2 linked regions of the Xenopus tropicalis genome follow. The protein of the gene in region 1 purifies or fractionates together with the protein of each later gene. This does not show direct contact. Links are inferred from orthologs where the notes say so. Each region holds a gene or a part of one and is shown on either strand. Other genes may lie near its edges.

What was found. Proteins that work in one complex are often made in the same cells at the same time.
Region 2: the proteins of cdc25a (region 1) and cul1 purify together in Homo sapiens (affinity purification with western blotting; 6 studies listed by BioGRID, with this or other methods). This does not show direct contact. The link is inferred for Xenopus tropicalis from reciprocal best matches to the Homo sapiens genes CDC25A and CUL1.

Annotation. Positions count from the first base shown.
Region 1 is NC_030682.2:12,718,207-12,724,603, reverse strand, and holds the start of cdc25a (M-phase inducer phosphatase 1), read right to left. Parts: upstream 4,038-6,397; 5' UTR 3,712-4,037; intron 3,521-3,711; 5' UTR 3,483-3,520; coding exon 3,325-3,482; intron 1,652-3,324; coding exon 1,572-1,651; intron 1,447-1,571; coding exon 1,395-1,446; intron 1,009-1,394; coding exon 970-1,008; intron 457-969; coding exon 420-456; intron 161-419; coding exon 62-160; intron 1-61. UniProt on the Homo sapiens protein: Tyrosine protein phosphatase which functions as a dosage-dependent inducer of mitotic progression. Directly dephosphorylates CDK1 and stimulates its kinase activity. Also dephosphorylates CDK2 in complex with cyclin-E, in vitro.
Region 2 is NC_030682.2:55,180,443-55,186,359, reverse strand, and holds part of cul1 (cullin-1), read left to right. Parts: intron 1-2,840; coding exon 2,841-2,972; intron 2,973-3,196; coding exon 3,197-3,289; intron 3,290-3,789; coding exon 3,790-3,837; intron 3,838-5,418; coding exon 5,419-5,501; intron 5,502-5,773; coding exon 5,774-5,879; intron 5,880-5,917. UniProt on the Homo sapiens protein: Core component of multiple cullin-RING-based SCF (SKP1-CUL1-F-box protein) E3 ubiquitin-protein ligase complexes, which mediate the ubiquitination of proteins involved in cell cycle progression, signal transduction and transcription.

The DNA of each region.
Region 1 (6,397 bases):
ATTTAAATGTCTCAAATGCATTTTCTTTTCCTGAATGACTTGATAATAAACTAGTACTTACATTCTCCTTGTTCTCCAGGTCAGCTGCGTGGAACACTTCACATTCTAGAGAGTAAGAGAGATTCCTCTTAAAGGCAGGGCTGGATCCCAGTAGGTTTTGCTGAATGGAAAAAAGGAAGGGGGTTAAAGTACTGGTATGTTACCAGCTGCAATGTCCCCCTTACACACCGACTGTGCCATCACTGCTGTGGGACAAAAACAACTCATTCAGCAGCCGAAAAGGAATGAGCAGCTACAGTACAAGGTCAGTGTGTACAGCACTACTAACACTGGTATGTTACACAATTAATGCTACTGATGTCAACCATATCAATGTTTAGATGGTACCAGTATATGAGATAGTTTAATATAAAACTCACCGGCAGGGAGTTCCTCCTTTTGATTGGTAACCTTGTGCTAGAAAGACAAAAACACCATTTTGATATGTGAAAAGATCAATGGAGGATGAGCAAGAAAATCTCTACATTGTCAGAACTATGACACTTTTGGTGCAAGTTGTAAACTCCTAGTTATCTACAACCTCGGCATGTTCTGTTTGTGACCCCACTGGGGCAGGAATGGAGTGCGTCACTTAAGCAGGTCTTTTCACGGCATTCTACTCCCTTGCTCAGACAAAGCAGCATGCATACTGGCCTAGGGACACTGGCTGCCTGTGTAAGCTAGATTAGCCTGTAAGTGGGCAGACATTTGGTGGGCAGCCTGAGACAGTGGTCCCTCGGCTTCCTCAGGTTTGTGAATGATTACACAGAACTTACAGGAAAGGGGAAAGAAGTGGGTGGGGTCAGCAGCCAAAGAAAGGATACTCTTCCTGCAGCCATTTGTATTTCTACAGAAATTCTCTTTAAATTCAGCTTAGTTTAACCAGGGTACCATGATTCCCACTACTGTATCTTTAACAAACATACTTACTGTCCAAGCCTGTCAGAATTCTGAGTCGATTTCTGAAACCTAAGAGGGAGAATAAAGTGCATTTTAAATATGAGCGAAAAGCAGTTATGGCGACTTCTGGGGAGAGTCAAGCAATGTGCATTCATATAACACTGAGTTGGAGACTCTGGAATGGATATCATTTGCATAGTTACAGGTATTTGTTAATTAAGCTAAACAGCGTGTAAACCTTATGAATGCCTGAAATGTGTTTTACTGGAAACAGCTGAAAATGGAGAATCACTGCCCCTTTAAAGGGGAAGGTCCATTACACACCATAGCAATCCCCTTAAGTTTGCCAGGCAGGCTCGCTAAACTGTGCCACGGGCAAAACATTTCAGCCCTGAGAAAAGCATGGCTGCCAGTAGTTTGATTTGCACTGAAAAGGTGAAAGCACAGATACGTACGTTTCTTCCGTGTCATTTAGATCCATCTTGATTGGAGAATCCAGACAGAGTCCTGCAAACAAAATGGGAGTCAGGTAGTGAGAAGCAAGAAAGACCTCCATTTACAAGTCACTGTAACCAGATCCTTACAATACATCTGTATATACTGAAGCCATTTATGTTATGGCAAAGACATACCAGCGTCCATAGATTCCGAAGAGTCTGTTCTTCTCATAGACCAGCGCTCTCCGAGCTTACGTGTCGGCGTTTCACACTGGCTAAAATAGGAAGAAAAAAAAAAAAAAAAAAGACTTTAAGGACGTCCTATAACTATAGTGGTATATTAAAAACAAACAAAAAACACGATTTTGAATCTTTGCCACAGCAACCAGAAAACAAAAAAAACATGCTTACTACAAACATAGAGGTTTTGCACTTTAATCTGAGGCTCAGTCATTTCAGTTATCACCCCAATACTAAATACAATGGATTATTCCCTCAGCACCCACTACTGATATAGAAATTGCTTTACACAGACTTTCAGCACTTCTTAGATATCACCTAGATGGCAAATGCATATGATTTTTGGGGGGGGGGGGGGGGGGGGGATACAAAGCTTTGCCTTAATAACAGTGTTCACAAAATGGTGCCTCCCTGCTGGCTGTGACTAAGTTCCAACACGTATAATAAAAAAAATTATATAGTTTAAGTTTATTTTGCTCAACTAACATGATAGAAAAGGACTTGGAATTATTTATTACAGGTCCACTTTAATGGATAGCCTGTTCCTAGTGGGCCATATGCTGCAGGACAAGTAGCCAGTTAAATGGCTCTCAGTCTGAGCGGAACTCTGGCACACATGGAACAAGTGGGGGTAAAATGACCCTCAGTACCCTGAGAAGGTTGTCAATCTACCCCCACTGCTGGGCACCAGGGCCTTGTATAAAAGACTATGGGTTTGCGGATTAGTTGTGTGCAATATTTCAGTCTGAGGAGCTGGGAAAGGTTTCTCTGAAACGCGGGGAATAAAAGGAAATGCACCACCCTTGCTGACTGTTCCACTAGTAGATTTTAGCCCCTTTATAGCAATGATCGCCTCCTTCTGCTTTCAGCATTGCTGGGAACGAACATGCCCAGGTTTCATTCCTAGTAACCCACATGTGCAAGGAAAATGGCTGCCATTCCACATGTGACACCCTGTTGCTGTAAATACTTAGGGGCATAACTCCTAAGTGCCATGTTTATTTGCAGGATGTCCAACAAGCCAAATGACTGCATTGCATGGAGATCCAGGCTGTAAACACATGACTGCATTGCACAGAGATCCAGGCTGTAAACACATGACTGCATTGCACAGAGATCCAGGCTGTAAACACATGACTGCATTGCACAGAGATCCAGGCTGTAAAGACATACTTTGCTGAAGTCCCACAATCACTGTGCCCAGTCTCAACAAGCAAATACATCAAATCTGCAGACATAAGTCAGGCACCCACTATAGTTTGTAAAGCCACCATTAGAAGGAGGGGCTAAAACAAAAATACCATTAACAAGCCAAGGAGGGGGCAAATGGGTTTCTTAAAACAACCCCCCCCCCATAGCCTCTGACCCATTCATCCAAACCTGTGTCTCTAGGTGCCTAGGTTAAACTACATCTCCCTGCACAACATAACATGGGATAATGGAAGTAGTTCAGCAACAGCACCGCAGACTCAAGATTGAGTAGAATGGGCCCTTGCAATAAGCCAAGCCAGGGTCCCCAATCCAGGAGATATTGATATACATAGACCATCATACAGGTTGTTTTGGGCTACAACCCCCAGCACCCTTAGAAAGTCTATGGCTGAAGGTACATGTTGGACACCCTCAGCAGAACAGATGTGACCATGAAGCCTTTTCTGTCCAACCCAACAGTCAAACCACATAAGTAGTAATTCCTCATGGCCATTACCTGCCCAGGCCTGCCAGTTGGTCCATATTGATAGCGAGGCTAGTGACCGGAGATAGGGCAGTGTCTGCCTCGCAAGAGAACAGGGACTTAACCACGGGGAGGCCAGAGAGGCGGTTGGATCCTCTGACATGAGCCGGAGCTGAACGACACCTCTCCATCTTCACACTGAAAATGATGCGGCCGGGCACAGCAACCTCTGCAACGAGAAGAAAGTACATAAGGCATAATGGTAGAGAGGGGCGGGTTCACTAAGCTAGCGAGTCATTAGCGCTAAATCTATAGTTTCTAGGGCCATGCGGGCGGGTAATTATTGCGAAGTATAAGCAGACACAAGCAACTCCGCTATATTGTTCCTGTAATGTAAATATATATACATAAAAAACATACAGGGAATTGTAGTGCTCCAAAATCTGGCCTCCGAATCGTAAAAAGGTGATAGCGGCAAAATGAAGGCCCGAGTACCTCTTAGTTGTCCTGCAGCAGCGGAGGTGGGAAGGCCTACCACACGCTACCGACTCCCCGTTAGTTCCGCAGGCTTAGCGTCACCGCTTAGCTTCCGATCAACCACGGAACTAGCCCGATCCACGTCAATCTAATAGACCCTTCCACTTCACGGGCTTAGATTTGGCGCCATGACGGTACAGCGAATGAGGAGCGAGCGTGACAGGTCTCTGGGCCAATCCGCGCCAGCACAGCTGCAGGCTGTAAACCAATCCCGAAGCTGACTGTGGCGCCCTTATTCTCGCGTATCTAGTTCGCATGACTGACAGCACACCCATCCAATGGCAACTCCGAACACGCACAAGCTGAACGATGAATCGATAGTGGCTGCTGGGCGGGAGAAAATGCTGCCAATCGGAGGAGCGTAGACATGGCCAGCGCCGTGAGGCGCGAAAAAAGTGAAAAGTCGTGTTAGTTCCTGTTAGTGACAGGAACTGAGAGTTCTGCGTCATGTAGGGCTGTCTCGCCAAAATGTATGATTTATATGAAGTTTTATGGCAACTGTATCAATAATTTAACTCATTCATTTAGAAATAATTCAGTAACAGTACTAATATTGCGGCAAGGTCGTTTAGAGGTTATGTACATACCTGGGAGCTGTCCCTTATCAGGGCTAGTATAAGGGCAAGAGCAGTTGCAATAGATCTGTGCTATGGCAGGACACTAACTGCTCTGAAAAGGTTTTCCACTGGCAACAATGGGAGTCGCTGATGGAAAGCCTTTCACATCACTTTGTTGTGCGAAGTTGCTTGTGGGAGGAAACTGCGGCTTCAGATTACCGAAATGATGCCAATGGCTTTCCACCGGGCTCCGATTGTTGCCAGTGGAAAGCCTTTTCGCAGAGGTTAGTTGCCCGCAATAGCAGAGATTTATCGCGGGTGACTCGGCTGCTCCGTGGGACATCAGCATATGGGTGAAGACACACGGAGCTACTAGTAGCAGCTACTAAAACAGACAATGCTGATCATTTACTGATAATTGTCTTTACATGTGTTTTAGCAGAGGCAATTCTCAGTATTGTCTATGGTAGGGTGTTTAGTAGCTCTGTGTGTCTTCACCCTAAAGGTCCCCATACACGGGCCGATAGAAGCTGCCGATATGGGTCCCTTGGACCGATTCAGCAGCTAATCGGCCCGTGTATGGGCAGAAATGAGCAGCCTGGCCGACCGATATCTGGCCTGAAATTGGCCAGATATCGATCGGGCAGGTTAGAAAATCCAGTCGGATTGGGGACCGCATTGGCTCGTTGATGCGGTCCCCGAACCGACTGCCCATGGCCGCAAATGTAATCCGATACTTATTTCCCCACAAAGCCATTCCACTGGGTAGAATGTAAATCGCCGGTGGGATGGTATATGCATCAATACGATTTGCCCAAGTTTCCTCTCAAGGCAACTTGGGCAAATCGTATCGATGCATGTGCCATCCCACCAGCGATTTACATTCTAGCCAGTGGGATGGCTTTGTGGGGAGATTAGTAGCCCGTGACAATGGAGATTTGTTGCAGCGCAACTAATCTCCCCATGTACCCCTGTCCTTAGGGTCATATGCCCAAGGCCCAAATGGCAATAGGTGCCCCTGGAGGAGGAATAACTAAAAGATTACATTGTGTAAAAGTTAACGATATCTGCCCTTTTAATATCGTCATCAAACATTTTTATTTGGCTGGCCGATAATATACTGGCCCGTGGCAACCCTGCTTTGAACTTTATGGGACACATTTCAAAATCATTACATTTCAGATTTGTCTGCTTCCCCGCCTGTGATTTTGTTTTTTCTTTTGGAATTCAGCTCTGGCACATATGGCATTTACATTGTAGGGTTGCGACCTGGCCGTCTGGGAAAAATTATGCTTGACCCCAATGTTATAGGGAAAAAAGAAATATAGGAAAGCTAGTATTTTTTCCCAGAATAGGTGGCAACCCTTTGCCCTTTCTATCAGTAAAATATAAACTATATATATTTATTACATTTCAGATTTGTCAGCTGCCCCAATTGTGATTTCCTTGATTTTTTGGAATTAGGCTGTGTCACGTGCAAATTACTATCAGCAAAATATAAACTTGTCTTGCAATCTGACTGATATTTTACAGGCCTGTCTGGTAAAAATGATTTAAGTCAATGTTAATAATAGGGCAAAAAAGATAATACCCTCCTTGGCAGGTGAGCCTTGCATAGGGGCTTGCCAGTGCCAGTAGGTTTTATAACACATGATGTTACAAAATGGGATTGGAGCTGATGATGTTGCTGAACAGCAGGCAGATATAGTTACCGCATGGCTTTCAGCTAACCTATTGTTTCTCCTACTCCCATGTAACTGGAGGAGTCCCAAGCTGGACTTGGATTTCTTACTATTGAGTGCTATTCTGATACCTACTGGGAGCTGCTATCTTGCTCCCTTCCCATTGTTCTGCTGATCGGCTGCTGGGGGGAGGGGGGGGATATCACTCCAACTTGCAGCACAGCAGTAAAGTGTGCCTGAGTCTGAGCTTTCAGAAGGAGCCAGCGCTACACATTAGAACTGCTTTCAGCTAACCTATTGTTTCTCCTACTCCCATGTAACTGGAGGAGT
Region 2 (5,917 bases), about 42 Mb from region 1:
TTCAGAACTGGGAGGCGGACTATCTGAGTCACTCCACATTGGACCAAGGAGAGTGGCACCTCAAACCAGTAGTCTTTCAACATATAGTGAACAGATGGGGGTCTTGGCAGAAGGAGTGGATGCGCTTATCAGCCCATGGCACTGTCAGATGGCGTACGCATGCCGTCCCATTTTCCACTATCCATGTTGGCAGTGCAGAGTGTGATTTGCAGATCTGATACAGATCTCATCGGCATAACCATGGCCTCTTCCATTAATTGCAGATCTTCTCTCGCAAGGCCCAGCGGATGCAGAACACATACACAGGCTACTTGTTGTAGCTACTAAAATAGACAATGCTGATCATTTACTGATAACTGTCTCTACGTGTGTTTTAGCAGAGGCAAGCCTCAGTATCCATGGCAGGGTATTTTCTGGCGTTTTAGTAGCCATGAAAAAGTAGCTGCTACTAGTAGCTCAGCTTGTCTTCACCCTTATGGCTAGGTTGACCTTGAATTCCTGTCCTGGAAGATAGCCTTTCTCCTGATCAGTGTCCTTGGACAACATTTCATCAGGATAAAGTAGTTCTCTGCACAGTCCAATCTCACCTTTCTAAGGGCACATCATACTTTCACTTCTGTCCAAAGCCAACTAATGATTTTGAACAGCAACTACATACTTTGGATGCAGTAAGGGTGCTTAAAATCTACTTCCATAGTACTGCTGAGTTTAGGTTGGATGCCCTGTTCGTTTTGTAGCAACTACAAGCATCTAAACACTCCTTAGAAAGATGGATAGTCGCAGCTATTTGAGAGGCTTATAGGTCCCATGCCATTATGGCCTTTTCAGAAGCAGTCTTTGGCAGGAAGATGCTAGAAGCAGCAGCAGCAACATATCTAGCTCATGCCTTTTTCTTAGTTCAGCTGCATTGTTTTGTTTTTGGTTTTTTTTGAGGGTTTTGGGACTTCCCCAGTTGTCCTGCATTGACCGACTGAGAAAAGGAGATTTGGTTTTTTTTACCCTGAAACATCTTTTCTTGTAGGCCGTACTGTCAGTGCACCATTCCTCCCTTTTTGGGGTGCTAGTTATTGCTGCTCGTCACATTGATAGTTCGGTTCTTCTGTCTCCCCCAGCAGGCTTTGCGGGGTAAGAGGGGGAGACACGAAGAAGAAAGGGTTTCAAGAAAGACTTATCAAGGCCCCAAACCCTTTAACTCGGCACAAATATGGTGGACTTCCCAAATACCAACACTCACCCAAGATGATTGGGAGGAGGCAACAGACTCCATGTGTAACTGTCTCATCTCTACTAGAGACAGATTGATACAGTATAAAACCTTTCATCACCTGTATATCACACCATTAAGGTTGCACCAGATGGGCCGTACCCCAACAGATAAGTGCCCGAGATGTGCAGCCAGCCCTGCTAACTTTTTCATATGATCTGGGCATGTCCCCATATCGCTACGTTCTGGTCAGCAGTCACTAAATACTTATCGAATAACTTAGCCTTCCCTACTGTGACTGCTCCCGAAACTTACTAGCTTACTAGGAGTCCTAGACAGTATAATTGCTCAAAATAACTCCCGGATATGCTACAGAATTCTCCTGTTCTATGCAAAAAAAACAGTCGCAATGGATCGGATGGGCTCTACCCTGCCGACCGTTACAGCCTGGAAGAATCTAGTGAATGCGGTAGCCCCTCTGTATAAACTCACATACGAGACGAGAGACGCACCTGATAAATTTGACAAAATTTGGGGCCCTTGGTGTGACCTAGAGGGAAATTGATCGATCCCGCTCCTAGCTGCATAGTAAGTCCCCCAACGCCTTCCCACCTTTTTCTGCCATACCCTGAACATCTAACTCGGTAACGTGACGGACCCAATATGTTGGAACTGTTGCCAGACTCGCATTCACACTCTGTAATGTTAAACCTATCCCGTTGATGTTTGTAACAAATGTTAGAGATAGACCTGGAAAAGAAAGTCCAATACGTTTTCCTCATTGCACTATAAAATGTGTTATTTTATGTTTGTATGAAAATTAATAAAATGCACCTTTCAAAAAAAAAAAAAAAAAGACATCAGTTTGTCCTGCCTCCAGAGAGAAATAACTTAACCCAATGTCTTGCACTGCCAGGTAGGGCCTACGAGAAAAAGATTTTTCAGGTTAGAAAATCTCTTTATTTCACCCACAAATTGATTTTAGCTTTATATAGATTTATAGTGGACTGATATATTTGTAATTAATTGGTGCATTTAATGCTTAATTAAATGTGCCATTCTAGTATGATTGTGCCACCTATTGGTTGCAAACTGTAACTTGTAACTTATTTTACTCTTTATTAAGTGGGGTTTTCTAAGTGTTTTGCACCATCTGTTGGTTGAAAAGTGCAATAGGAGTTCCAATAGGCTACATTATATGGGAATAGTACAACCCAAATTTTACAGTTTTCAGTGGACCAAAAAATTCATGTAAAAGCCTGTAAAAATAGGTTAACACCTTAAGCAACTTTAAAGGTTTAGAAGAGCATTTCCAAGACCTGTAAATCGGATGCATAGCCTGACCCAAGAAGTCCTGTGTGGGCTGTCATAGGAGGTGCAAACTAATTGATGGTTTGTAAGGGCCAATTAGGACTTGTGTGAGTGAACTGGCACTTTGGAGGTAGGACCATTATCCTTGTAGTAGGATTCTTCCTTTCCCATGAGCACGATTCGAAACGGAGAACAAAAGCCTTTGGCTTTATAGTTTATTAATACAGTTAATCACTATAGGTGGGTGCTCTTATGAATGTGACAGTTCAACCCACTTATCATATGCAGAACACAAATAAAATGTTTTAATTCTCTTCCTTTACAGTTGGAACGCAGCTATCAAAGGTTTACAGCTTTTTATGCCAGCCGCCACAGTGGAAGGAAGTTGACTTGGTTATACCAGTTGTCTAAAGGAGAACTGGTCACAAACTGCTTTAAAAATAGATACACGTTGCAGGTATGTTGCAAGCAAAGAAGTGTATTGCTTAAATACCTAAAACAAATTGTGCACATCACATGTTGACTGTGAAGTAGAGGTTTGCAGTGCAGAACTGAGAGACAGCATGGTAACATTGCAGTTGGAACTAATGGAAAATTACTAATGATTTGGTACTGTTTAGTACTGCCTTGCTTTTGATGTATGATGTATACTGTGGTCTTTTTTCCCGATTCCTTTTTCAGGCATCCACATTCCAGATGGCAATCCTGCTGCAGTATAACACAGAAGATGCCTACACAGTGCAGCAACTGACAGATAGCACACAGATAAAAATGGTAACCGTATACAGTTTAAGGCCTCTATCTTATAAAAATTATGCTTGTTTGTTAAAAGCCATTATAGATTGTCACAGAGATAACTGTAATAATAACTATTTTGGCAGCTAGGGTTAGGCCTATGTGGGACAATTTTGATGGCTACTAGTAGTGCTGATCAGAACACACTTCTCCTTTCCCACTTACCAGTCTTGGAGCTCTGGGTGTAGATGACTTCATTTCTAGCATTGTCAGACTCTTGTCAGATTAAAGGTTAATGTCACATTTTTAGCAGAGGCACTGGAACTGCCTGTCCCGCCTGTCATTGTAATGACAACCTTTTATCTCCAGAATTCATATTGGACTAAGATGAGCCGTAATCCTAAACACCTAATGTACTTGCTAGAAGAATGGAAGCTCTTGGTTCACAAAGTCTAATTAGACTACAAATGTTTTCATGTGTTTCCTAATTCTAAATTAATCTTATCACACTGCTGCATTTCCTTTATTCCTTTTTGCAGGATATACTTGTGCAAGTTCTTCAAATTTTGCTGAAGTCTAAGTTATTGGTAAGTTTCACAGTTTCTGGTGTTCGCCTAAAACAGCAATAGGCTGAATACAGTTCTGTAGCTCAGAAGAAATTTTGGAATCGGGTCCCTTTAAAAGATTTTAAAAAAAATTGTGTTCATAGCGATCATTATCACATAGTTAAAGATCCCTGGGACTGTAAGCTTTCAGGCGTTAAAATATACTTTTAGGCTAATGTCACATGGTGTTTTGTCAACAGACTAAAAAAATGCCAATCTACTCTAACCCACCCCATGGCCATTAAGCAGTGACAGGAATCATGGGATTGGCATTTTGACAGCACCTTGCATGGTATAAGCCTTACTGGTGTTGAGGGCTTCCCCTTCTAATGCAAGTCATCCCTAGGTAATGATGGTTGCCACATAATAGCCAATGTAAGCATGGTCAGGGTTATTTATGTTTACATTTTGGGTGTCATTATTATACATTGCCCTCTGAAAGACAAGAAGAATCTCGTGAATTACACGACGTTGACATAAACATATGCTTAAGATGTTACTTACAGCTTAACTCATATGTTACTATACATTGCCTGTGTTAAGTGCATCTGCTGTATTTCTTCATTAGATCAGAGTAATCATAATAATTAGCAATTACTTGGAAATTACCTCACAGAGAAATAAAGTAGTAAGTGGTACTTGCCTTGAAAGCCAATGTATGGTAAGAGTGAAGTTGAATAGGTGTATGTACACGATAGGTCTGTACACTTTCCCTTTTGGCCAATCAAACCTGCAGGAGGAACAAAATTACTGGGGGTTGCCTAGCAAATTTGATCGAGTTTTATTCTACTTCAAATAAACATTTAAAAAAAAAAAAACTTGAATGTTTGCTTATTTATTTAAGATCTGAATATGAAAAACTCATTAGAATAAAAAAAAAAAAACTAATACCTTGAATTTTTGAGTTTACAAACTCAAAAATCTCGAATTGAAAATATGGCTTGGTTTTGTCTAGGACAACTCCATTGTCATCTACGTAAACACGCAAGCTTTTAGATGCCGACGTTTTACATTACAGTTTTTGGTGTTTTTTTTTTTGCACTCAATAAATATCAAATATTTGAGTTTTTGAACCATAATTACAATACATTACAAAAATTACAATCACCCCCTTGTTGTCTTTCTATTAATCCTAGCATTTGTGGGTGAATGCATGTGCTATAGAAATGTTTTTAGGCTATATCCCCTCGTTCACAAAGGGGAATCCTTCGGAGGGGATAAAACAACTGCAATTTTTTAAAAAAGAATCAGTGAGGGCCTGAGAAATTGGCATACCCCAGTGAGTTTAGCCTGCACTTCTTTTGTACTACAAACAGCTGGAACTGCAGGAAAGAAATATATTTGGCTAATTATAGAGCTCACTTACTCAATATACCATCACCTTGCGTACTCTGTTTTTTGCATCAGTGTGGGGCCGAAGTATATCAGATATGCATTCAGTATGTTATAGGTTGTTTGATCATGTGCCTCATTTTGTTGTCTTAACTTTAACACCTTTATCCTTTATAACACTAAGGCGCATCAGTGCAAATGTCTTTAACTTCTTCCCTTCTTTTAATATAGGTTTTAGAAGATGAAAATGCAAATGTGGATGATGTAGACTTGAAGCCAGATATTTTAATAAAGCTCTACCTTGGTTATAAGAAGTAAGTTTTAGCAACATATTAAAGGTGACTCAGCGTTGCCTCTGGGGGCAGAGTTTCCACACGTTGGCACATACAAATGCCTTTATAAGTGATGTGGTTTAAATGGGATGGCCTAGAACATCCAGCTGGTGTGGTGCAGAAGCATTGACACCATGGCAAACAGCTTTTAGGATACTTTATTCATAAAAAAGCTTGTCTCTTTAGTGGCTTAGACATCAGGCCTCTCCCTTTCAGAAGCTGGAACATAATCTCTTTATTTTTTTTTTTTGCAGTAAGAAGTTAAGAGTGAACATAAATGTGCCCATGAAAACAGAACAGAAGCAGGAACAAGAAACAACACACAAAAATATAGAGGAAGACCGAAAACTACTCATTCAGGTGATTCCCATTCTGCTGAATACTGATTGGCCTTTCTC